3 linked regions of the Tamandua tetradactyla genome follow. The main gene of each other region encodes a partner of the protein of the gene in region 2 in a complex. Links are inferred from orthologs where the notes say so. Each region holds a gene or a part of one and is shown on either strand. Other genes may lie near its edges.

The links. Proteins that work in one complex are often made in the same cells at the same time.
Region 1: the proteins of EZH2 (region 2) and AEBP2 are in contact, whole or in part, in a cryo-EM structure (PDB 8VMI), measured with the Homo sapiens proteins. The link is inferred for Tamandua tetradactyla from reciprocal best matches to the Homo sapiens genes EZH2 and AEBP2. Residues at the interface, in NP_001190176.1 of Homo sapiens: Ser76, Leu77, Arg78, Gly79, Thr80, Thr100, Asn102, Ala103, Val104, Ala105, Ser619, Asp620, Val621, Ala622, Ile739, Glu742, Met743, Glu744, Ile745, Pro746; in NP_001107648.1 of Homo sapiens: Lys382, Leu383, Lys384, Asn385, Arg387, Arg388, Ser390, Leu391, Pro392, His395, Asp399, Ala400, Gln401, Asp404, Ala405, Arg407, His408, Ile411, Cys412, Leu415.
Region 3: the proteins of EZH2 (region 2) and JARID2 are in contact, whole or in part, in a cryo-EM structure (PDB 8VNZ), measured with the Homo sapiens proteins. The link is inferred for Tamandua tetradactyla from reciprocal best matches to the Homo sapiens genes EZH2 and JARID2. Residues at the interface, in NP_001190176.1 of Homo sapiens: Arg78, Ile131, Pro132, Tyr133, Asp136, Ile146, Lys156, Val157, Asp160, Arg161; in NP_004964.2 of Homo sapiens: Arg108, Pro109, Arg110, Leu111, Ala113, Gln114, Arg115, Lys116, Thr154.

Annotation. Positions count from the first base shown.
Region 1 is NC_135333.1:82,025,894-82,034,145, reverse strand, and holds the start of AEBP2 (zinc finger protein AEBP2), read right to left. Parts: upstream 3,310-8,252; 5' UTR 3,102-3,309; coding exon 2,446-3,101; intron 1-2,445. UniProt on the Homo sapiens protein: Acts as an accessory subunit for the core Polycomb repressive complex 2 (PRC2), which mediates histone H3K27 (H3K27me3) trimethylation on chromatin leading to transcriptional repression of the affected target gene.
Region 2 is NC_135327.1:193,079,932-193,088,415, reverse strand, and holds the start of EZH2 (histone-lysine N-methyltransferase EZH2), read left to right. Parts: upstream 1-5,192; 5' UTR 5,193-5,193; coding exon 5,194-5,238; intron 5,239-8,484. UniProt on the Homo sapiens protein: Polycomb group (PcG) protein. Catalytic subunit of the PRC2/EED-EZH2 complex, which methylates 'Lys-9' (H3K9me) and 'Lys-27' (H3K27me) of histone H3, leading to transcriptional repression of the affected target gene.
Region 3 is NC_135351.1:18,258,068-18,265,969, forward strand, and holds the start of JARID2 (protein Jumonji), read left to right. Parts: upstream 1-4,593; 5' UTR 4,594-5,132; coding exon 5,133-5,177; intron 5,178-6,287; exon of another isoform or gene 6,288-6,331; intron 6,332-6,614; exon of another isoform or gene 6,615-6,860; intron 6,861-7,902.

The sequences.
Region 1 (8,252 bases), on a different chromosome or scaffold from region 2:
TCTCACCTGCCATGCCGGAGACCTGGGTTCGATTCCCAGTGCCTGCCCATGCAAAAAAAATTTGAATCCAACAAACCCTAAAGCTTTCAAATAAAATCAAAAGTACCACCTAATTTCGAAATGACAGAAAAACTGAACAAACCTAAGTTTTAAGGATATTGTAATGTCTCAAATATTTTTAAAAGCAACTGACAGCCATGATATGCTTCAATCAGTTACAAAAATAAAGACTTCCTTCCATGAAATCAATCTATGAAATCCCCACAGATTGACGTAATCTGCAGGATAATTTATAAGAATTATGGATTCTTTCCAAATTAAAACAACTCTGGGGGGAGAGGGGGGACCTTCAGAGGCAAGAAGAGGACATTTCAGAATTAAGTTCAAGACCAGCAACCAGGTTCACTACTTATATAAAGCTCTTTCATCCAAGTGATTAATTTAATACCCTGAAACTGTATATAAAAATTACCACAAAATTTTGAAATCTCTAATATTTAAGCATTCTTTAAGAAAAGACAAGTATGCTTAGTTATCTACGTTTTAACCACCTGAAACCATTACTCCTTACTTTGAAGGATGTAAAAATTAGATTTTCAAAGAAATTATCTATTAAATGTCAAATGAAACCAAAATTCATCCTTTCTGAAATATTACATGGCCAACAAACTGTCTCCTTAGGAGATGTAATGGAAAGAAATTAACGCAACAAACAAAATCTGACATACACAACTTGCTACTTAAGGTGAATTATTCAGTGTCTTGTTAAATTGAAATAACAGGGGACTTGAGAACCTTTGTTAACTCCCAAGCTGAATTGTTTTGAGTAAGACACAACTCAACTTGTTTCATCATCTATTAAATGGAAGTCAAAATAATATCCTGTACTAAAGCTGAAACATTTAAACTGTGCAGTATTAGGCAAATGTGGATGTTTATGTGTGTGTTTATGTGTGTGTATGAATATTCAGTAAATACAAGGAACTGCGATAGATGCTGACTGTATAACCTAACATCAACTTCTAGTGGTAGCAGTGAAGAATATAACAAAATGATAAACAGCACGTAATTCACTATGCAGTTCACAAATAATCTGTAATTTTCTTGAGAACATTCTTCTTCCTGCCTAGGTACGAACAATTTTTCTAACATTCATAGTCTATTTTACTCCATCCAAACTGTTTTAACTAGACAAAGTAAACGTGGAACAGAATCTAATGCTAGATTTCCAAAATATTCAGACCTTTGTATTCCTTGTAACACTGAAGATAGTTTTACTTTTGTTCATCAAAATTCCTGCAAAAAAAACTTTAGAATACTTAAACTCTTAAATCAAAATCAATACTGATTGTTAAAAATCCTACTGCTCCTCAAAATATTAGATGATTAAAATAAATGCTAATATACTTTAGAAATATAATATGCATGATGCATATAATTCTTTTGTTTAAAAGTACATTAAAAACCAGTTAATTAAAACATTAAGTTCTCCAAAGGGATCAGTGTAATGATTGTGAACGGAAACATACTATTACAATATTTTTATCAAATCTGAAAATACTGGATGCATTTTTAATCAGTCTCCACTTTATTCCTAGCAAGTTTTAGAAAATGATACTCATTTCTTCATAGGCCTCTCCCATACATGACTTTTAATATCATCTAAAATCGTGACTCTCACTTCGAAGCATTACTTTTTAAAGATTTTAAACGACACACTAGTATGTTGAACCTTCGACACTGTATTATCATTACTACTTTTTGACGCCCGTTATTTTAAAAAACAGCAATTCATTATTCTTTCCACGATAATTTACACGCGTTTTAAACTTCCAGATTTGACCACAAAACAGAAAAGATTATTAAAATCATGTCAGAAATCACATTAATGACTGCAAATGAGGAATTTGGAAAGCTTTGATTAAATATAAAAGCACAATCTTCCTTTTTTATTTTTTTTTTCTTTAAGTAGAGAAAAGCGATAATTGGGGTCTCCTTCCTGGACAAGGAAGTTATGTTAAATCCAGGCGAGACCAGCCATGTTGGAAGACACTTGTCAATTATAGTTCTGACAAGTGTTCACGAGGACGGTTGAATGAAGCTAACCTTATGTACCAAGGTGTACATCAAAGCCTCCTCGTGCTCCACCAGGAGATCGGGGACCTATTTGGGGATTGTTTCCAAGTTAGAGCTCCCCTTAGGTCCATAAGAAGCACAGAGCCTAGAGGGAAGAGGGCGGGGAAAGGAGAGTTGGAGAAAAATGGTCTGAGAGTTAGAAGCCGCTATCCGCTGCGAAAGGGGCGCGGCGGTCGGAGATCTCGGAGTTGAGAGCCTGGGGGAGGCGCCGAAGGTTCAGGGAACACGGGGGTCTCAGCAGAAAGTCCCCTAAAGGGGTCCAGGAGTGCAAGAGGGCATAGGGAAGGGGAGACGGTTCGGTGCACTGACCTGTCCTCCGAGTCCATGCGGCTTAGGGGCTCCCCATCCGAAGACATTTCTAAGCTGCCTCGCCGGCCCCCGGAGGTCGCGCTGCTTCCGCCTCCCCCGGTCCCGTAACCCTCGTCGCCGCCGCTGGAGACTACACTGCTGCTGCTGCTGCCGCCGCCCCCACCGCCACCCTGGCTACCCCGCGGTCCCTTGGGCTCCTCCAGGCCCTCCTTGCCATCGCCATCCCCGCTGCTGCTGCTGGCAGCGCCGGGGCTCAGGGACCGGGTCTCGTCGCTACTGCTCCCGCCACTGCTGCCCACCAGGCTCTCGGCGCTACTCTCCTCCTCGCCCCCGCCACTGCTGCTGCTCTCGTCCTCCTCATCGTCCTCCTCTTCGTCCTCGTCCTCCCCGGCCTGGCTGGCGCTCTCGGGGCTAGGCTCCGACATCGTCTCCGCCTCGCCGCCCCCCACTCCGCCGCCGCCACCCCCACCGCCGCCGCCGTTCAGCAGCAGTGCAGCCACCGCCTCGGCCTCCGCCTCCTCTTCTTCCTCCTCCTCTTCCTCCTCCTCTTCAGGGGGCTCAGCCCGACCTCGCGCCGCGCCGAGGCTGCCAGGGGGCAGAGGGCTCAGGCGGGAGAGCTCCTCCAGGTCGGCCATGTCGGTGATAGCGGCGGCCATGGCGGCGCCTGTTACTCCTCCTCCTCCTCCTCCTCGCCGCCGCCGCTGCCGCCTTCTCGCTGTCTCTACTCTCGCTCCCTCGCCCCCTCCCAAACGCCCAAAACTCCGCCGAAGCCGCGGCAGAGCAGGAGGAGGGCCCGCGAGCTGCGTCAGCTTGCACACGCGCTACGGAGCCCGCGCGGGGACAGGCGCGCGACTACGCGCACTCACGCGGAGACAGTTGCGCGCCTGCGCGGAGCATGAGGTGCCGCCTCCCCAGTCCGCAGGTTCCGCGCCCGCGCCCCAGCTCCCGCTCGGTGCCGTCAGAGTTTCCTAGGGGTCCTCCCACGCGCTCTCGGGCAGCGCGGCGAGCGCAACACAAGAAACTGAAACCCCAACGCTGACCGGGGATTTTAACAACCCTCCGAATTCGCACGAGAAAGTCATTTGTTTCGGCGGTATTTGGGGAGTGTCCGCTGCGTACTGGCGCTGAGCCTGGGATGGAATAAGTTCCTGGCCTTAAGAGAGGTTATGATCTCCAAGGAGAGGCGATTAAAAGGAACCAAATTAAATCATACAAGTTACTAAGTCCATATGTGCAACATAGAGCCACAGGTTTAAATCTAACCTGTTTGAATAGTTGTAATGATGGTGAAATCATAACCTCAGAGTATCCATCCTTTGGGTGAGAAGTCTTCAAACGTTGTAAGTCATGAGCCCCTTAATTTTGTAAAACTATGTACAGTCTTAAACGTAGATGGCACCTACGGTTTTTTTCCAGCGTGTTATAAGTACTGGCTTTAAAATGTAACTGTCACCCTTTTTAAATGTAGGCAATTCCAATACCATAGGGATTTAATACCCGCCAAATCCACTCTTTTAGAATACGTGAACAATCTCTTCTTTTACACAGAAATTGTCAATCTTTCCTTTATCTTTTGGAACTTTTATTTGTATTAAACTTCCCCTCCAGTATTTTATCCCAATAAAACATTTTGTCTTTTATTGATCCTATCACTCTTAACGTATAACAAAAATGTGCATACAAACTGAAATTTAAGGGTTTTTTTTTTAATTTTACTGACCATAAGATTCTAAGTGTTATTACAACTAGTCAAAACACATATGGTAAATTTTTGTAAGTATTAAACACAAAAGTAAAACCTGGAGGAGACCATTCTTACAGCAATGGAGTTAGATAGGTTTTTGTTTCAACAAGTTTAATCAGTGGCTGAATATTACTAGAAAAATAAGGAGTTCAGCGTTAATTCTATTCCAAGTTTTCAATTCCGTGGATGTAGACACCGAGGAAACTTGTTCACAACAATAAGTAGATGCGAATGAATGGACTTCTGTGAATAATAGCAATGTCACTCAAATCTTTGAACTCCTTCCAAATTATATGCCAAAAAATCATAGAGATTTAACAACAACAAAATACTTTCAATGATCTTTCAGCTGACAACTCTGATTAGGTTTTCCTTCAACTCTGCTGTGTGTAACTGAAAACCACCTGATTTGTAATGGATGTGCTCCTCATTCTCACTCACCCACAGTATTTCCACTTGCCCCTTCATTGGTGTTCTGGAGGTTTTTGCATCCTGGAGGGTTTTTTTGCCCTTTTAGTAAAATTTTGGGAGATTTTTGGCCCTTAAGATTTGAGGTGAGTGTGCATCATGCTTTCATTTCTTTTGTTTGGGAGAAAGGCAATTGGAATAAGGGAGGGTAGTCTGCACTGCACCCTGAACCCAGGGCACATTTTCAAGCAGATCAATTTTAAGGACACCTGTCTAAGGGAGATGAGTATCAGACAACCTATTGCCTTAAAATAGAGTCTGTGCTCATACACATACGGGAAAGTCTTCATATACCGTGAGTACCCCAGTATTATGTCTCATGCTCAGGTTTTGGACATCAGTTACATGCGATGTTGTCTCAAGAGAAAACAAAATAAAATTAGTATGAAAGCATTATAGTTCCTTCACTACAGTACTCCATTTTTACCTCAAAGCCATTTTTTGATAATACACCCTTATTGAAAATGAAGAACTAAACAGAGCGTATTCACTCAAAACTGTTTACTGAGTGTAATCACCAAGCTCTCTGTTAAGTACTAGAGACCTTTGGCTGAGTTCATCAAGGAAACTTCGTGAAGAATGTAAGATTTAAACAGAAGTGTAGAAAGTAAGGTAGATGATAGCTACATGTAAATTTAAATAATTTGAGCTGGATCTTGAAGAGTAAATAAAATATAATTGTGCGGGGGGGAATTCTAAGACAGAAGCAATAGCATAGAAAAGCATAAAAGTTTATTTGAGACAGGGTTAATCAATCATGAGAAAGCAATGCTTTTGCAGGTCTTGAATTAAGAGTTTTGATGCTGAAAAATAACGAGTATATTCTGAGGTATCTTAAGAAAGGTGTGAGTACAGCTATGTAGTAAGGCCATATCTAATGTATAGGGGATATGGAGGGACTGAAAAAAAAGTGAATGGAGATTTACACATGGAAATGACAGTAATCAAAGCCACAAATGAGTGCTCCAGCTACAATATTTATACTTTAAGATGAAATTGGGTTTTTTGGAGAAAATAATGAGTTTTCCACTACTGCAGAGTTGTTTTTTTTTCCGGGGGGTGGTGTTTATTTTGTTTTTGGTTTTGTTTGTTTTTTGTTATTTTAATAGCAAGTTTTCTAAAAAGTTTAAATAATTGTATAATAAGCTCACCCATACACCTATCTAGATTCATCAGTTACTGCAATTTGCCATATGTGCACCCTCTCTACTTCCCTCTCTCCCCCTCCCTCTGCCTCCCTCTATCCCTCTCTCCCAGTTTCCCTCTCAGGTTTATCGGCTTCAGTTGCAGACGTCACTACTCTGCATGCGTCTCCTAAAAACAAGATCTTTCTCCACATTACCACAGTGTATCGGTGTCATTAAACTCTCGAAATTTAAATCGTTGTTTTAATAGATTCTGCACCTCCATTGATAGAGTTTCTTTAGGCAGCATCAGCTGAGAGGTTGGAAGAGACAGCGGAAAGCGTGGCTGCTTCCACAAACACAACACAAAGCCTTCCTTACCTGAATGCGACCGCAAAAATACCGAAATGAACGTTTCCAAACTTTGTTAACAACCCGACAGAGTAATTCTGTTTTACGTCTGCTGAACCTAATAATAAAAATCAATCCTTTTTGTTTATGTCAACTGTTGTTTTTTTTTTTTTAATTTCATTATTCTGGCCATTCATTTTCACTGTACTTTACACAAGTAGCAGTCCTTTGCAAATTAAAAAGAAAGACAAAAAACTGTTCACAAATTGAGAATCACTGTTCTACAGTTCGCTTCAGCTCAGACAGTATGTGACCCTATAAATAATTACAAATTGCCCAATAATACTGCATAAAAGCTAATTGATTACAAATATTATTCAAACTCATCAATTATAGTATTAATGAGGTCGCATTAACAAAAATAACTCAAATATCATTATCTTTTGTGCCTACCAAGCCTACTTACATAGTCAGGACATCAGCTTCCAGCAGAGTACACCAAAAAAATATTTCTGAGAGCCCTCTTCACTGTTCTAGACACTGCAAACTCCTACCAGGAGCTTTTGCATGTGATACAAACAGCCCAAGCCATGGTGTCGTCTGAAGAAATGGAGACGTTCGTGTTGACCTTTGCTAGGGGAACCCCAAAGCAAACTGCTTATGCCCAGTATTATACACTGTTTCAGTGAAACAGCTCTTTATGTTTTTTATTCAGAAGTCTGTCTCTCTAAGGGACCCAGACATGCTTTCATGGGCCTAGAATGGCGACAGATTTGAGTAGCAGCTACCCCACGCTGTATTTATTACTCCCCATCCAATGAGTAAGTCTTTCTTATAGGGCTTCTCTGTCTAATTCTTTCTTCCACGAAAATGAGTTCTGTTCCAGGAAGCAGCCTCAGCCCCCATGTAAGCAAGTTTCTTTCAGTCCTGTCTCACCAGTTTGCCAGACATGCCCAGACATGCTTGAACCCCAGCAACAGATCCAGTTTACATTCAAGCCGAGATTCCTGCTACACTGCATGTGAGATACTTCTGAGAAATTCTCTTAAATATGTAACTACATCACATTTTGCACTTTTATTTTAGGTGCCTTGTTTTGTGTTGCTGTTACCATCGTGAGCAAAATCAGTGGCAGCATAATGGCCTCATTCTCTGATTGACTCTTAAAAACAATATGCATGGAAAGACGTCTTAAAGAATGATAGGATCGTGAAGGTGGAAAGATCTAGAAATCTAATGCTAGCTTTCCCAATCTGTAGATTGTAATCTAACCAAAACCCAACCAAATAATAGTTATAGCTTTTGAGTTAAAATCTCTCATCAGAGACATAATTGCTTTGGCTGACACCCTTTCACAACAACGTCATATGCCTGTGTAGTATTTTGAGTATTTTCTCATTTTGAACTTAGTGAAGTTTTCTTCTATAAACTCCAGGTGAAAGTAGGCAAAAGGTGGGAGGTAAATACCATAGATATCACCATTCTTGTGTCTTTTCACGTATCTTCATATGACTTGTTAACCAACTTTATTCCATGTTCAAAACTCTCTCAGTTACAAAAATTAAATTTGACACATTAGGTATACATATATATATATTTTTGTATGCTGTATGGCGGGAGTCACATTTCATTCTTTTTCCACATGAGTATCCTGTTACTGCAGCGGCATTTGTTGAATTTTTGTTTGTTTTTTCTTTCTTTGCTTGTTTGTTTGTCTGTTTTGGGAAGTACATGGACCAGGAATCAAACCCGGGTCTCCCACATGGCAGGCGAGAATTCTACCACTGAACTACCCTTGCACCCCCAGCACATCGGTTGTTGTAGCATACAAATCATAATACCAGTTAATATTTTATCCATCAAATCCCTGGGAAGACAGGGAAAAATCTAAATACATGTAATATTTATAATGGTTTGGAGCTATTGAATACATGGAATGTCTGCTATGCGTCAGGCCATGCTCCTAGCACTGTGTATATACCTATGATAAATCAAGGAAAAATCTCTGCTCTCCTGGAACTCAAACTCTGGTTAGGTGTCCTACATAAGGGTGATAGAGCCGTGTAATCTTTCTAGCCAACCATTTATTGGGGACACAACATTTATTTCACCAGTGGAAT
Region 2 (8,484 bases):
GTGACCCCTTCCCAGACCAAGGAAGTATGCCATCCCGGGATTACCCCAATAGAGTCCCAGATGCATGCCCTTTACAGCTGGTGGCTCTTTGTTCTCCTGGCTGGCTCGCCAAATATTCCAGTCCAGCATAACCCCCGAGACCAAAGAAAATGCTGGACAGAAGATTACTCATGAGTTTAACTAGGGGATTATGGACAGGAGGAAGATCTTCCCCAGTGGTGGCTGGTTGGAAGATGAGTCTGCACTCCACCCAATGAAAAGAGAGAAAAAGAAAGAGAGCATGCCCATGGAAAGGCTTATAAAGTTTAACTGCATTGTGAGATTTGGTACAGTAGAATTTTAGCAGAGTCTCATGAGATTTGGTTATTAGGGGAGGAGGTGTATATTCTTTGATCTTTAATGTCTGGCCTGGTCATGTAGGCAGATAAGTGACTTGCTCACAAAATACTGGAGAGGATGGGGTCCAGACACTGGGTCCTTACACTTATGGATGCTACCCCCCTCCCCCCCCAGTTTACCCATGACAAGGACAGACACAGACCTTCCACATACCCATTCTTTGCTTCATGTACTGGTTTGAAACTATTATGTACCCCAGAAAAGCCATGTTTTAATCCTGATACAATTTTGTGGGATCAGCCATTTCTTTAAATCCTGATTCAATACTGTAGGCAGAAAGGTTTTTTTTAGATTATCTCCAGGGAGATGTGACATGCCCACTTGTGGGTGTGATCTTTTGATTAGATGGAGGTGTGACTCCACCCATTCAAGGTGGTTCTTGATTGGTTTACTGTAGTCCTTTAAAGGGGAAAACATTTTGAAGAAGTCTCAGATGCAGGCGCAGACACAGACACTTGGAAATGCAGATGCAGACTCTTGGAGAACAGTTGTTTCAGAGCTGACAGAGACACGGATGCCTAGGCACTGGTAGATCCCAGGAGACGTTGCCATGTGCCTTCCCATGAGATGCTAAGCAAGGCAGAATACAGAGTTGTGTCATGGAGGAACTGAGTGAAGTCCAACAGATGCTTAGAGAAAAAACACTGTCATCAGAAGTGGAAGCAACAGAACCAGGAATAAGGACCAGCAGATGCCAGCTATCTGCCTTTCCAGCTGACTAAGTGTTGCAAACAACATCAGCCTCTCCTGAGTGAAAGTAAACTCTTGTTGATGCTTTAATTTGGACATTTTCATGGCCTTAGAACTGTGAACTTGTAACTTAATGAATTCCCTTTATAAAAGCTATTCCATTTCTGGTATACTGTATTCTGGCAGCATTAACAATCTAAAATACCTCATAAATGGCTAGCTGAATTGCTTATCTCCACTGATCTATCAGATCAAAATGATCAATCAGAACAAAGTTTACTAAGCAAACCTGGGTTAAACTTCTCTTCTTCCTCCAGATACCTGAACTCTAAAGGAACCTCCCAGAAAATAGGCTGATTCAAAGCATAAAATATTCTCTAATCTATTATCTGACCACGTCATCCTTTCATCCCACTACCCTACACCTGGTTTCTTTCCTCTGTATAATAGAAAGACTCATTTTGCCTAATTCTTGATGGTCAGAGAGGTCTCCCCCTTACTACAGGCCCTTCTCTCTATTGCAATAACCCCATTCATACTTTGCAATGATCCTTTTGAATAAAATCTTCCCTTACCAAACCTGGATTTGTTTTTTATTTGACTACAGAGATGAAATTTTACTACAATGAATATTAAGCATGCAACATTTATTGTTGTCTTGAGTTTGTTATTGTATGAAATACAACTATAAAACAAAGTGATTAATTTTAAACCAATGTGGTCAGAATAGCTTTATAGTAAAATGCATGGACCCTGAAACCAGACTGCCTGCTAGTCTACTTGCTAGTGGCGCACCCTTGGGCAAGTCCTGTCTCTGTTTCCTCATCTATAAAACCTAGGCATAGATTATCATCAGTAACAAGTGTCATACATTTGCTAAATAGTAAATAAACACAGCACAACACATTCATTAGATACTCTGGGCATTGAATATCCAAAGTAAGTATTATTCTTTTTGGAAGAACTATTCCAATGATGTAGCTATTGGTCAAAATATATGTGAAACTGTAATCAAAATGTTAAGAATTAATAAATGATTATGATTACTGGATCATTATATAGAGAACCGTATTTTCTTTTGTAGACTAACCTAACGTTAATACCTGACATTACTGAAACTCAAACTAGTCCCACTCTTATTTATAGCTACTACTGTAATGGTTATTCTAGCCTGGTCTGAACCCTATTTATATTTGATATCATAATGGTAATAATTCCATCTCCCCTTGTTTGAATCCATAAAAATCCTGAACTCCTTAGATTGGGAGAGAGAGATTTTGGGGTTGATAGGCCATTTGATCTCCTGCTTCTCCCTTACTAATATGCTTTTTCTCCCTTTGAAACCCTGGTGTCATGGATTAGCTGTTATGCACACCAAGCAGAGAAACTGTCTTTTGTTGGTATCAAAACCAGTACCACACTAATGCCAAATGTTAACAATAGGGAAAACTGTGTGGTGTGTGGTGGTGGTGGTGGGGCCGAGGGAGTTGTATGGAAACTCTATCCTTGCTGCATAAAGTTCTAGTAAACCTACAGCTGCTTTAATAAAAAAAATCTTTAAAATATATTTGAAACCAAATAAAATTGCCTTCAGAAGCTGTACATGTTCTTCCATAATATTACCCATGGCAGCAAATCTTCCTTTTTTGAAGATAGATTTGCTTTTTAAAATAGCCTGATGTCCTTCAAAGCCAAAGATGGTGAGTATAATGCGAGCAAGCTGGGAAGTACATTCTTGGGAAAAACGGGTGTGATTAAAGTAACGATGGCCCATTTTCTCTGAAGCACACTTCCAAAAGAGAAGCCTTGCAAATACGCTTAAGCAATGGCAGCGCCTTTGGATCAAATGCATATATCAGTTATCTATTGCTGCATAACAAAATAACCCAACAGGGAGCGATTAAAGACAACAAACATTTAATTTCTCAGTAGTGACTGTGAGTCAGGAATCCAGGGCGGCTTATCCAGGTCCTCAGGCTCAGGGTCTCTCACAAGGCTGAGATGAACGTATTGGCTGGGGCTGCAGCCATCTCAAGATTCAACTGGGGAAAAATCTGCTTCTAACTCTATGTGGCAGTTGCTGGGCCTAGGGCCTCACTGGGTGTGGCCTCTCCATACTGCTGTCTTCAGTGGCAGCTTCCTCAGAGGAAGGGATGAGAAAGAAAGAAAGAGAGACTCAAAGAGACAGAGACAGAGAACTCAAGGCAGAATTTACAGTCTTTTTTTTTTTTTTTTAAAACTAACCTTGGTGATAATATCCCATTACTTTAGTCTTATTCAATTTCTTAGAGATGAGTCAAAAAATTCAGGTCACCCCCAAGGAGAGGGGATTACACAAGGGGGTAAATAGCGATAGGCAGGGATCATTGCATAATCCCCTCAAGTGGCAAGGCTGAATGATAACACTCATTTCCAGATTTCTCTTTTTCTCTTTATATATGTCTAAATATGTGTGTGTGATTGTTTAAAAATTCGTCATCTTTTTATAAGAATGTTACAGTTTTTTTCTGTGATACAGATATCTTTGTGAAAAACTTATTTGACACAAAGAACATAGGATCTTAATCATCGTCACTCTTGTGCCTGAGTAATGGATTGAAATTACCTAGGTAAAAAGTTTAGTTCTAGTCCATTTCTTTTACGGTGGACTTCACCTCTGATAGAATTATTTATTTACTTTTTTGTAATTTGAAACATTTAAGTGACTATCATTGAACAAGATCCTGGTATTCTGACATTTCTAGCATTTTGTTTCTTAATGTCTTTTAATTCAGGAGTTAATTTATGTATTAACTTTACTAAAGACAAATGACACAAACTACCTGTTTTCAGTGAGCTCCCACCAGCCTGCAAATGCAAGCTATACAACTTCTCCAGCTAAGAATAATGCTTGTTAACAAACAACACCATTTTCATCTATCAAGATTTAATGAAAGTAGAGCCTTTCTTCCAAATTTTTTCAAGACTCTTTGTTTTTCTTAAATGGAGCAAACTTATAACAGAGGGTGCATATTTCTCAACAAAAGAGTCAAGTTTATTTGCTAATATGAAAGCCTTGTGTTGAAACCTCATGATTTGAGTCTAAATGTAAAGTCTAACTACCGTGGTGACTAAACCAAAGAGATGACCACTGCTTGACAACTAAAGACAGAAAATGGTGGATTAATACTGGAATCAGTAAGTCTTACCACAGAGCTTAAACTGATGTACATGGTTTTAAATTGACCCTGATCTGTGAACCTATGTATTTTATATGTGAAACTATATAAAAAACCAAATTTATGGAAAACACGTTCATCCACACCTACTGAATGACTGAATTATAGAACATAATTAATGACTGAATTAATAGAACAAACTTGCTGTATCTTTTTTTTTAACCTATAAATATTTCTTTAAATGCCTTCCTCTGAAATCCCACTCCCTTGTTAAACACTTAGCAATTTGGTATACATCTTCCAGATCTTTTCTATGTAACACGCAGATTCATGAGCACGCTATACGCATATTTGAAAGGGACCTTCTTCAACTTGTTTTTCCCTCTTTTCTCCTAAATGAGAAGTGCATTCCTGTATAATATCAAATTAACCATTATAAGAGTAAAAATCTTTTATCTTCTCAGAACGCTGAAGGTTCATTTGAAGTATAGGCAACTTCAAAAATACTCTCCTATTCAAACTGTCACATGAAGATTACTTTCACATACATCTCAATTATCTTCGTACAAATCCTACCAACTGCTGCTGTTAGCTCTATGGCAAAAAACGACAGTTAGTCAAGCGTGGTTGTGGGGGGAGACAATGCTAAACAGATTAACAATAACCCACAACCCTCGGACCAACCGATACAAACTGTTAATCTCTGCCTATTTATAGTTCCTTTTTGAACTCTTTTCTAAGTAAGGACACTTTTCATGACCTATTTCACAATCTTGACAGGAAAAATACGTAATAGTTTCCGACTAAATTCAGTGAAAATAAAACAAAATTACTCTTTTTAAAATAGTTTTGCAAGAATTTTATCAGCTAGCAACCTTTTTTGCATTTCCCTTTTACAAGTGCATTATGGGTAACACCTAGCTAAATCTGAAAGTAAACTAGGCGTATGGCTCCCAGCAATGAAGGCTGGAGAAGTTGCTCGCTAGTCTTGGTAAGTACAGCCCAGCTGGAGCTGGGAACCCACGCCCTGCCCTCGTAGAGGCGGAACCGCCGAGTGAATAACCGAAGGAATCTAGCCACTCTTTTGCCTCTGCGCTGCCATGTGGGACCTGCGCCTGCTTGTTTGGCGGGTTTTCCCCCTCACATTCATAGAAGTTTCAGAACCGCGTAGCCACGTCTGGTCTTCGCAGACGCGGATCCGGCGGAATCCGGAGTTCCTGGGAGGCAGAGCGCTGGCCTCCTTTTCCGTCTCTAGGGACTTGTATTTCCCACCAGCCTGCTCCATTTAATCCCTAAAAGTCCCCGTCCCCGGAAATCGCGGTCGTCTACTGTTCAGGTTCCAAATTGGTTAAGGATGAAGAGTAAGTCAATGGGGGTCATACAGGTGACCCCAGCAGGACTTCCTTCTTTTCCTCCAGTAATTGCAAATACCACCCAGGAAACGCCGTGTTTGTTAAAAAGAGAACTTCAGCAGTTTAAATGCCTCATAAATTAGTCATCGTTTCTCAATCCACCACGGCGGCCGAGGTATTTCTTATCAAGAACTGATTAGGAAATGCAAACCATGGGTGAGCCTTCGAAGCTTTAAATGAAGATTTTAATGAAAGCTTAAGGAAAAACTGAGAGGAGACTGTCCGCACTTGAGTATTTTGCACAAATTTTTTTGCCAACCAAACCCTTGTTTTTCTTAATTAAAGGAGAGGGTTTTGGCCAAGGATGTTGGTCAGAACCCGGGTGTTTCATTTGCCAGAAATACTTTCAATATGTAAGCCTTTCAGTATATCAGAATCTTTGGCCTTTTAAAGAAATTCTCTTGGGAAAGTTTGATAGATTTCCTGCAGTTATTCAGAGTAAAGCCTGTTCGTTAGGGCTTTCCAATGACTGACTGTTTTACCTTCCTGTAAAGACAAATCAGAGAATTGTACAGAAAAAGGCCTAAGGTTACTTTCTTATTTATTGTGATCAATGAAAAAAATTGGAAATTATAGAAATATTGGGACTGGGATTGGGAATTCCTGAAAAATGAAGGAACCCTCAGATAGTTAAGATACTAAACATTGTCGTAGAAAAAACTGGTGGCACAAAAAGTTTAGATTTTTAAAATACATGCAATCTAGGAAAGGCAGTAGATTTAGAGATATGCTGTCAAAGCTGTATTTTAAAGGCGAATAATTGTTGTAGTGACATCTTTAGAAATTTGGAGATTTTTTGTCAATTGAGGTGAAAATTTATATACCAGTAATCATAGTTTGTATAATAATTTGCAAATTTCCTTGTATTATCTCACTTATATTACACTAGTGATGTCTATATCTTTGGAAATTGATAGAACAGGTTATCTTTTTCTCCCTCCTATAATATTTATTTGATTCAAAGGAAATAAAATGAGATGTAGAGCAAGTATTTATAAATGGTGGGGTGAGAGGTTAGCTCTACATCTTAATAGAAATAGTTTTAGTTCTAGATCTACAAGGACTCAAGTTGCTTGCCCTCTTTTATGTTCTTGGAGATTTACCTCCATGCCAACCATTGTGCTAAGAGCTTTACTAGCTCTGTCTCATTTAGTCCTTAGAGCCTACTCCATTAGGTAGGTTAAATCAGTGAAATGAAATAACTTCCTCCAGGGCCACAATCTGTAAAAGGTGGAGCAGGAGCCCTCTCTGAGCCTGGGTCTCTCCAGGGCTAATGTGCTCCTTCTAAGCCCCTGACTCTTTCTCTCCATCAAAGATATTACTGCAGGGGTGAAAGGTGCCTAATCTAATGCCTAGCACCTACCAAGCACATTAAATAAAGGGTCATTTGAATTAATTAATAATCATTGAGTATGATTCTTCAGGGATTTAATTTTAATAACTTTGATCAACATTGTATCTATGTCCTCTTTTTTCCCTTCCCATTATCCAAAACATTTATAAATTCCTAGATTCATGCTAATGATCCCTTCTTTTCTGTTTTTTTTTAATTGAATGCAGTTTTATTGAGATATATTCACACACCATACAGTCCTTTTCTTTTTAAGCTATCTAACTGAATACAGTGAGCTATGTTTATATGGCTACAGGAGGAAACACTGTGTCCTCCAGGTGGGTCCCATCCTGAAATGATGAGACCGGGCAGACAAGTCACTGGACAGTGCCGTTGGGAAAGGAGCATCCTGTCTTGGCCCTGCACTGCCTGTTCTGAATCTGACACTGTCGCAACAATGGAATGGTGGCTGCGGTTTGAATCCAGCGTGGAATATTCAACCAGGGAATATGAGAGCCAAGTAGAGTAGGAGTCTTTGGCCCTTGCAGGTGACAGGGAAGTGAAGCGGCTTTGCTTGCTTTCCTGGCCGCCCTCACATCTGCTTGGGATCAGTGTCTCCACACCAGGATACCCAGACATTTTGGAAAAGATTTATTGCTTTTTCTGATTATAGGAGCAAATACATGATTGTTAGATAAAATTTGAAAATGTGGAAAAATATGAAGAGGAAAATTAAAAATGACCTAATTGGTCTACTACCCAAGTAGTTATTTCTTCCAATCCCTTTCTCTATGCGTTTTTTTTTTCAGTTGGGATCATGCCTAATACATTTTTTTTTTTTAACCATGCTACTTTTGCTTAACTTACTTATGAAGTCTAAGCATTTCCCCGTACCATTAAATTCTCTTCATGAGCATCCTTTTTAGAAACTGGGTAACAGTCCATCCTGTAGACAGCTCATAATTTACTCACTCATACCCCTAACGGTGGACACGTCAGTTATTTGCATTTTTTCACTGTATTATATAATGCCAGCATGAACATCCTGAGTTCATGCATCTTTCAATACCAGTTATTTTCTTGGTATAAATTTTTGGGAGTGAAATCACCAGATGTCAGAATATAATGATTCTTTAGGTTCTAGTTACACTTGCTGAGGGCTTTTCAGAAAGGCCGCGTGGTCTGGCACTCTTGAGACGTACTGGGGATGTCAGCAACATGTCTGTGGCGTTTGCAGCCTGGAGACGGACCAGGGAGACATGGCTCCCGCTGCTGTTCGGATGTTGAGTGGAAGTAACCATCATATTCTAAGGACTGTCAAAATAAAGAAAAGACCTAAGTATTGTGTGCAGTTGTTGCATGCAAACTTGGTCTACTGTGCTGCAATTGCAGATTCTAATCAAAACATGGAGTCCTTTTTACCAGCGTTGTAACCGAGAAATTAGGATTTAAGGGATGATTTTGATTGCTGAATTATTACATAAATATTCCT
Region 3 (7,902 bases), on a different chromosome or scaffold from region 2:
CACTGAATTACCCTTGTATCCCTCAGTACATTTGCAACCCCCTCTACACTTGCACCCGCCCTTATTTTTACATTAGTGGAGTGAGGATGATAATACCTACCTATCTTGATCAGGGTTCATTTTATAGATAAAATGAAACTATTATGAGAGTGTACTTTAAACACTATAAAAAGTTGTACAAGTGAAAGATAGCATTAGATAGCACAGGGAAAGATAAGGTTGTATTAGGAAATTAATAATGTACAGATCTAAAGAAACTTTCCCTAGCAATTCTTACTTAACACGTGTATTTAAGTCTAGTTAAATTGAAAAGGCCAGCTCTGAAAGGGGAAGAAGGAAATATGGTATAAAGGTCAAAGTAGGATTAGAGCATGTTAGGTCCACAAAAATCTGGGGTGATAACTGAATTCAAACCTCTCATTTTCTACATGATGGACCTGGGGCCCAGAGGGGTCAAGTGAATCTTGTAAGGTCACTCATATTAGAAACACCTAATTCTTATCTCGTGATTCGCTTCCTTGTCAATGGCAGCCTCAATATAAAACAAATCATGCCCCCATGAAAATTCCTAATTAGGAGAGAAAAAATAAACAAACGACATACTTGGCAAGCAATACAACACAGAACACAATTTTAAATCTCAAAAAAATGTGACCAGAGAAGCACGGGTAATGAGAATCCCAGAATGAGTAAGTCAAGCAGCCAGGCTAAATTGGTGATAGGACTAAAGCTGAGGCCTTAGAATGTACGACATAGAATGTAGGTAAATAAAGATACTGTGAAATGGAGTGTAATATGGAGATGAATTGTGAATCATTTCTTAGGAAAACAATGGATATGATTGATGTTTGGAAGCATGATAATCTGTGTCATCCTGGGTGAAGAGGAACACTTCAATGTGCATTTAATACACGACTATTAATTACTTTTTTCTACTTGATCTTTATTAACACTTTAATTCTTACCCCATCCTTTCTTATAGTAAATGAAGTGGTGGACAAGAATGCTTAATTAAATATGATTGCCTAAGCAGATTTAAACCCAGAATAGTGCCTGCTCTTATTTGTTTCTAATGACTTGTCACCTCTTCTTCCCTCACCCCATCAGGTTCCCATTCTTCTTGGAACGGATAATCAATTTAATTAAAGGAGTATAAAAGGTAAAATCAAGGAGTAACTTTAGACACTACCCTCTTTTCCACCATTCCCTACACCTAACCAGTTCCCAAGCCCAGTGGATTTTTGATATGCTAAATATTTCTCAACCTGTCCTCTGCTCCGTATGCTGTTCCCTCTGCCACTTGATTCAGATTATCACCATTTCTCATGTCATTTACGCAATAACAGTTCAACTGGTATCTAGGCCTTCTTGCCTCTAGTGTTTCTATTCTCATTTCTCATAGTGGCAAAACTACCTTTTAAAAGTGTAAATCTGCTTTATACATATGGATAAAATCCTTCTTTAGTTTACAGGACAAAACCTAAACTCCATTGCCTGGCACAAAGAGCCTTTCAGGTCCTGGCTCTCTGTCGTAATTTTGGCTACTCCCAAACAAATAGCAAACCCCATCCCTAATGTAGCAATTTCTTCAACTCTCATGATTATTTTACTTGCTGAAAAGTTTCTCTGCTTATTTCAAACTGTTGACCCCCCTACTTATCCTTCAAAACTTCCTAATTCCTGGTCAGCTCAGCTATTCATTGCCTTTAGCTCCTTTACCAAGCTGCTAATATATGACTTCTTGTCCATATAGTAATTGACTGTAAAGTCCTCTTCTGTTGAGCTATGGAATCAATATACCTAGTGAGGTATCACCCCACCCTCTTGAAGAGGTCAAGAGGAATGCTTTAAGTGGGGAAAATAAGTAGGAGAAAGCGTGAACTAGATTTACAGAACTGAAAGAGGAGAAAAAGAAAGGAAAGGTAATAAATGGCCTTGCTAAGATAGCAGGGAAAGGAAGTTCATCAACAGACATTCACTTCCACAACAGGAAAGGCCTTCAACTGCTAAAATGGACAATCTATTTTTCTTTTCAGGAAAACATCACAATTATCCAAATCTTTAGCAAATTCCTTCTTTCCCCCTGCCTTCAGGACTAAACTAGCAGAAAATTTTTTTAATACCTGGTGATCTGGAGTTGGTAGCCAGCAGGGGAGTTCACAGGCCCAGGACTGAGAGGTCCAGCCTCAGGGCCTAGCAGAGGGAACCAAGAAGAAATCCACCTTTGTTATTTAACATTTGTCTGGAGCATGACAGGTCTGACATGAAACCCCCCAAAAGCTGCTTCAAACCACAACAGTGTGAAGCCCAGACTCCCACTATTTGCAAGTCTTTTGAAAATACCTTGTAACCTAACCATAGCATTTGCTTGGGTGGCCAACACTAAAGTGGCGTCTGTTCTATTGGATCCTTCCCAGCAAATGGTACCAGAGAAGATTTGCAGTATTAAGGCATGGACGGTGATTTATTTTCTTGATTATGAAATGACCATGGGTCAAAATTACTCCATTTTAGAGAGCACTCAGATTTTTTATTTTAAAGGGAAAGTAATAATTAAAAGGGCCTTTAAAAAAGCCTTTCATTCCCAACTAACATTTACAGGATACTTCCTACAAAGTGCCTAGCTCTTAGATATGTTTTTCACAGATTGGGTCAACCACCCATTTGCAGATGAGGAAATTGACGCTCAGCGTGGTCGTTAGTTGCATTGTTCTAGGAAATGGCCAAGGTGGAATTTGAACCCAGGTCTCTTAACATCCATTTCTGAGACCTGCAGTTACTTCAAACACTACTGCAAATAAAATCTAATAATGGTGTTCCTCGTGTATTTGTGTTTGAACTCTTGAGTTAAGCAGAACGGAAGCAATGGGAAGGAAATAAAATTTAGAGGAATGAGAAGGAGGGAGCAAGCGCTTATCCCATTTTCAATTTACTCAGAGGGTATTCTCAGAATAAACTTCAAACATTGCTTCCTCAAAACCACGGTTCTAACAAAAAAAATTAACGCAGAATGGCTGTGCGAGTCTCGTCAAAGTTGTCAATAAGGCAAAGGCTCAGGGCGGTAAAGAGATGCACCAGGTCATGCTATTTCATTTATTTCAGCGTGACAAGGGCGGTAGGGAGAGGAAGGTGAAAACGCGAGCTCTCCCGGGGCTAACTTGGTGTTCCAGATGCTTCCTTACTGTTACCGAGGCTGTGTGGCTTAGTCTCCATATTCCACTTGTTTTTACTCAGCGTTTCAGTCTCACTCCTGGACACACCGGACGCCAACACGCCTGTGAGAGAAAAGATCCTCTTTGATCTCTTCAGAGACGTCTATCTTTTCCACAGGCGGCCCCGGGGAGTGAATCTGGGGCCTCCCCCGACGCCTCTCTCGCGCTCGCGAACGCCGGGGTCGCGCGCCGAGGCGGGGGCGCCCTTTAAACACGCCAGTGCCCGCGATCCCGCGGCCGCCCACCCCGCGCGGAGGGGCGCGGGCGGCTTCGGGGCGTCGAGCGGAGGAAGAGGTGACCTCAGACTACCCCGGAGCCGGACAGGAGCCGCCTGTGTAAACGCACGAGGCGGTGTCCTGAGGTGACACCGGCTGCACCGCAGAAGCAGCAGGCGCCGCCGATCAACTAGTTCGCGCCGAGGATTCCTCTTGGTGCGTGGCCCAGTTCTACTCAGGACCCGCTCCAACCCCTCCCTGACACCGCCCCCCGCGCCGGGAAAGCCGCGCAGGCCGCCTCCCTCTGCCCCCCCGAGCCCCCGACACTGGCCGGCGCGCGCGCGCGCGATTCCTCGATTCCACAGGCGGTTCGCGGCCCGAGTGGGGGCGGGGCTCGCGGGGAGAGGACTGGCAGCCGCGGGCGAGGGGGGTGCGGGGCGGGGGCGAGCCGGCGTGGGGAGTTCCTCGCTCGCGGACCACACGCTCTGCGGGCCAATCCCGAGCCAGCCTCTAGCAGTGTCGCACGCGGGACACGTCCAAGCGTTTGTTGGCAGAGCTGGTGAGGGGGAGGGGGCGAGAGGGAGGGAGGGGAGTTGAATGACAGGCTCGCGGGGCAGGCTGGGAGTTGTAGTTCCCACCTCCCATGGCCATAGCCATTTTGTAGTCGGGGGACTACAACTTCCAGAAGATCAAGGGGACCATTCTAAGGTGCCCCGGGAATAGGCGGCTCTCCCCGGGGCCGGGCGTCCTGGGGCACTCGTACCCAGAAGCCGGGCTGCAGGTAGATGTGAGGGCAGTGGCGGGGGCTAGCGTGTGGGGGCTGTGGGGCGAGCGGCGAGTGGGGAGAAAAGGGGTGAGGTGGAGCGACCGAGCGTGCCATGCATTGGGTTTAGGGATCGTCTGTCAATTCCAGTCCTAGGCTCGGCGTGGGAGAGATGTCTGGAAGGTTGCCTGGGGCGGGCTCATTGCGGTCTCTCGGGTGTCTGGTCGACCGGGCTGCGGGGGTCCTCAGGACTGGGCCAGGGGCGGTGAGCGCCGCGGTTGGCTGGCGCCTGGTGGCTCAGCTGTGGGAGTTTTCGGCTAGTTTTTGAAGGGGAATTACCCGAGGAGCCCTAACTTGTATAAAAGCAGAGTCCATTTAAAGTTGGGCTGGATAGCCTCTCTCTCATTGGTTAGGGGGCTTGGAAAAAAGAGACTCGGCGAGCCCTCGCTGTGGTGCCGCCGCCGCCGCCGCTGGAGTTGACTCTTCTCTCACTGCTGCTGCAGCACAAACGTGACTTCCAACATTTTTTATTTATCTTTCCCTTTTCTTTTCCAAGATGTAACTACATATCAGACACTAAGGACCTTCACGTTCCGCTGATGTAGTTTTTGGAGGAAAAAGGGGGGAGTGAAGGGCGTCGGTTTTTTTTTTTTGTGTGTGTGTGTTTCGGGGGAAATTTTCCATTATGAGTGTTTTACTAAAGTGAATTTTTTTTTGTTTGCTTCGTTCGTCTTTGGCTCTTTTTTTTATTTTTCCTTCCCAATTTCGGATTTATTTCAAGGCGAATCTGGTTTTGGGGGAAGAGGAAGAAAAGTCGGATTACAAGATCAACCACCACGACCAACAACAATAAAAACCTACAGGATTTTTTTTGCAAATTTCTGACGGCTTTAAATTCATGAAGCAATTGTCCCCTTTTGCAATCAGCATTTGGATCTCAGAATGAGCAAGGAAAGACCCAAGAGGAATATCATTCAGAAGAAATACGTAAGTGCTCTTAACAACATATCCTTTGACTCGCAGTTTTAAGCAATGGCTGTGAATGTCAAGTTTATAGATAATTCTGCAGCTGAAGGGTTTTAAACACAGCGTCCGATAAGGCTTTTTCTTTCTTTTCAGAAAGAGGGCTTTTCAGGCAAAGTCGTGTCTGTTCAGTTTGGTCGAAAAAACAGATTGGTGTAGCGATACCTCAAGTGAATAAATTGACCTCGAATGACACAACCATAATGTAGTTTTGGATGAAAGGCAAGGGATTTTGGTGGAGCTTGGGGGGGTGGGGTGGGTGGGCGGTTGCGGTAATGTAACTAAACTGCATTCTCGGGCGGATTTGGCCCCCATATTGCACTTTGCATGCAAATGAGCCTGTTATTATTAATGTTATTTGAAAATCGTATAACGCGTGTGTAGTCTAAGCCTTTTAACTTGCAATCAAGTGTCCGATTTTGGCGACCTTGTTCCTTGCACTGGCACATCAAATTTAATGTATGGGATCGTTTTGGCTTATCTGGTTCGGAACATAAACCAGTTGGGAATCATGTTTCAGCGAATACATTTGTTGGGGTTGACTTTAATAATGGGGCTGGTTTTGTTTAAAAATTCATGGTTTCCAGTTTTAGGGAAAAAAAAGACTGGCTGGTGTTTTTAAGTGTGTGCGTAAATGCATATGTTAAGTGTCTACAAGTAATTTCTTCCTCTTAACTGATCTGATTATTCAGAGGTTTAAATGGTTTGGCACAGTTAAATTTGTTTCGTGCATAGTACAGCTACATTTTGATTGGCATTGGGAGTGTTTTTGTTTTGTGTGTGGTGGCTTTTTTTTTTTTAAGTTTGGGGGGAGGGAGGGGAGCATGAGACTGGGGGATTAACCAAATATATACTCTAGTGGTCGGCTATTAGCTGTACGCGTTAAATGAAAACCCATTTTTTAAAAAGGCCAAATGTTCATACATCGAGAATAATGCAGCGTTATAAGAAAGTTTTATTGGACTCGAGTTGACAAGTTGGGCGTTAATATTCCTTTTTGATATGTGTGGTGGGAGTAACATTCGGGGCACTGGTTTTGCAAAAAAAAAAAAAAATAATAGAAAAGATGAATACCTTTTTTAGAGGGGTGATCCTAATCTAGACACTTTAAACTTCCCCTGTGGAAGAAATTCAAGGTTAAATAATCAAGTCCAACTTAAAATGCTATTCCATAAAGAATTTACGAATTAAAATACATCCGCATTGCAGAGGGTTGGGGAGAATGCAAAGCACTAGTTTAAACTCAGGCTGTATAAACTGCATGGAGGCAACCTTGCCTGCGAGCGTGGAAGCCCTCCCGGGGCACGTCCATTTGGGATGCAGCCACAAAGCAAATTGGGTAGAACTTGGACAAGAACCGCCCCTTCTACACCCCCCACCCCCACCCCCCGCTGCCCCAACCTCGTTAAGTTGGAGAGTAGTGTGGGGCGGATATTTTTTGTGTGTGACTACGCCGGCGGATGGTGCGGCAGCCAAAGTGTCGAGTCCCGCCGCTGTAATCCCGTGTCTGACGGCGGCCGGGGAGGCAGAGCTCGAGTTGTTGCTTTGGGAGAGGAGCCGTGTTCCGGACGTCCTCGGGCCAGCCGGGGAGGGGGCGCCCGGGTCGCCGTGGGCCAGGCTGGATGGCCTGTAGGGGGCAGGCTCCCGGTTCCGGGCGGGGGCGCGAGACGGACGCCGTGCGCCCCGGGACGGCCCGCGGGTGGGGTGGGGCAGGGGCAGGGGGCGCGAGGCCTGCTAGGTCCCGGGGAGTGTGCGGCGTGTGCCGGGAGGGGGCCAGACCGCCCACAGCTGAGGCGGGAGCCCCCACGGTGAGCATGGCGGCGGCGGCGGCCGCCCGGGGGCCGGTTCTTTGCGGCCCTGCCGGCGGGCTCCAAGGCGCAGTCTCGAGCGCAACAGGTTAAGCCGGCGAGACGTCAGTCCGCTCCCCCCACCCCCCGGTCCTCCCCCCGCCGGCGCCCCCGCCCTCCACCCCCGGCTTCTCCCGGTGCCCGTGTGCGTCCCGCTGCGTTCTGTTGTCATTGTGACGTCACAAAGGGACGGGCCTGGGTGGAACCTTCCCCTCCTCCTCTGTGACGTCAGAAGTCGGGCGGGAGGTTCCAGACGCATCCCGGCTGCGGTGGGAGGAGGGAGCGCGGCTGGGGCCGGGGCTGCGGAGGAGCCGCGTGGCCTAACCGCGGCTGTAAATCCGCGTGGGAGGAGGAGCGGGAGGATGCGCTCTGCCTCTGCCTTCCGCCCCGAAACTGCGCTTCCCACCAGGTGAGAGCCGAGAACCTGTCGTCTCGGAACGAGAGCCCCCGGATCTTGCTCTGATTCCGTGGAGGGGTGCAGAAATGCGTTTCCTCCGTTCCAGGTCTTCTGATGGTATTGCGTTTCCAAGGCTTTTGAAAAGGAAGGAAACTTAATTCAGGGAAAGCTTTGATTTGTTGGAGGACACCCTCGTTGAGTGTGTCTTTGCAGGATGTGCACCCTGTGGCGGCTGGGTGATGGCTGAATGCACCGCAGCTTGATGTCATCTGTTGTACTTTCTGGAAGCCAAGGTGGCGGGGGTGGTGTGTGGATCGCTCCTCCTTGGTATGCTGGCTCTCTGCCTAGAGAGTGTATTTTTTGGGGGTAGGGAACACACAGGGAAGACTTATCATTGATTGATATTTCTGCTTGGAAGACCACTGGACTCTAAGTGTATCGGCCC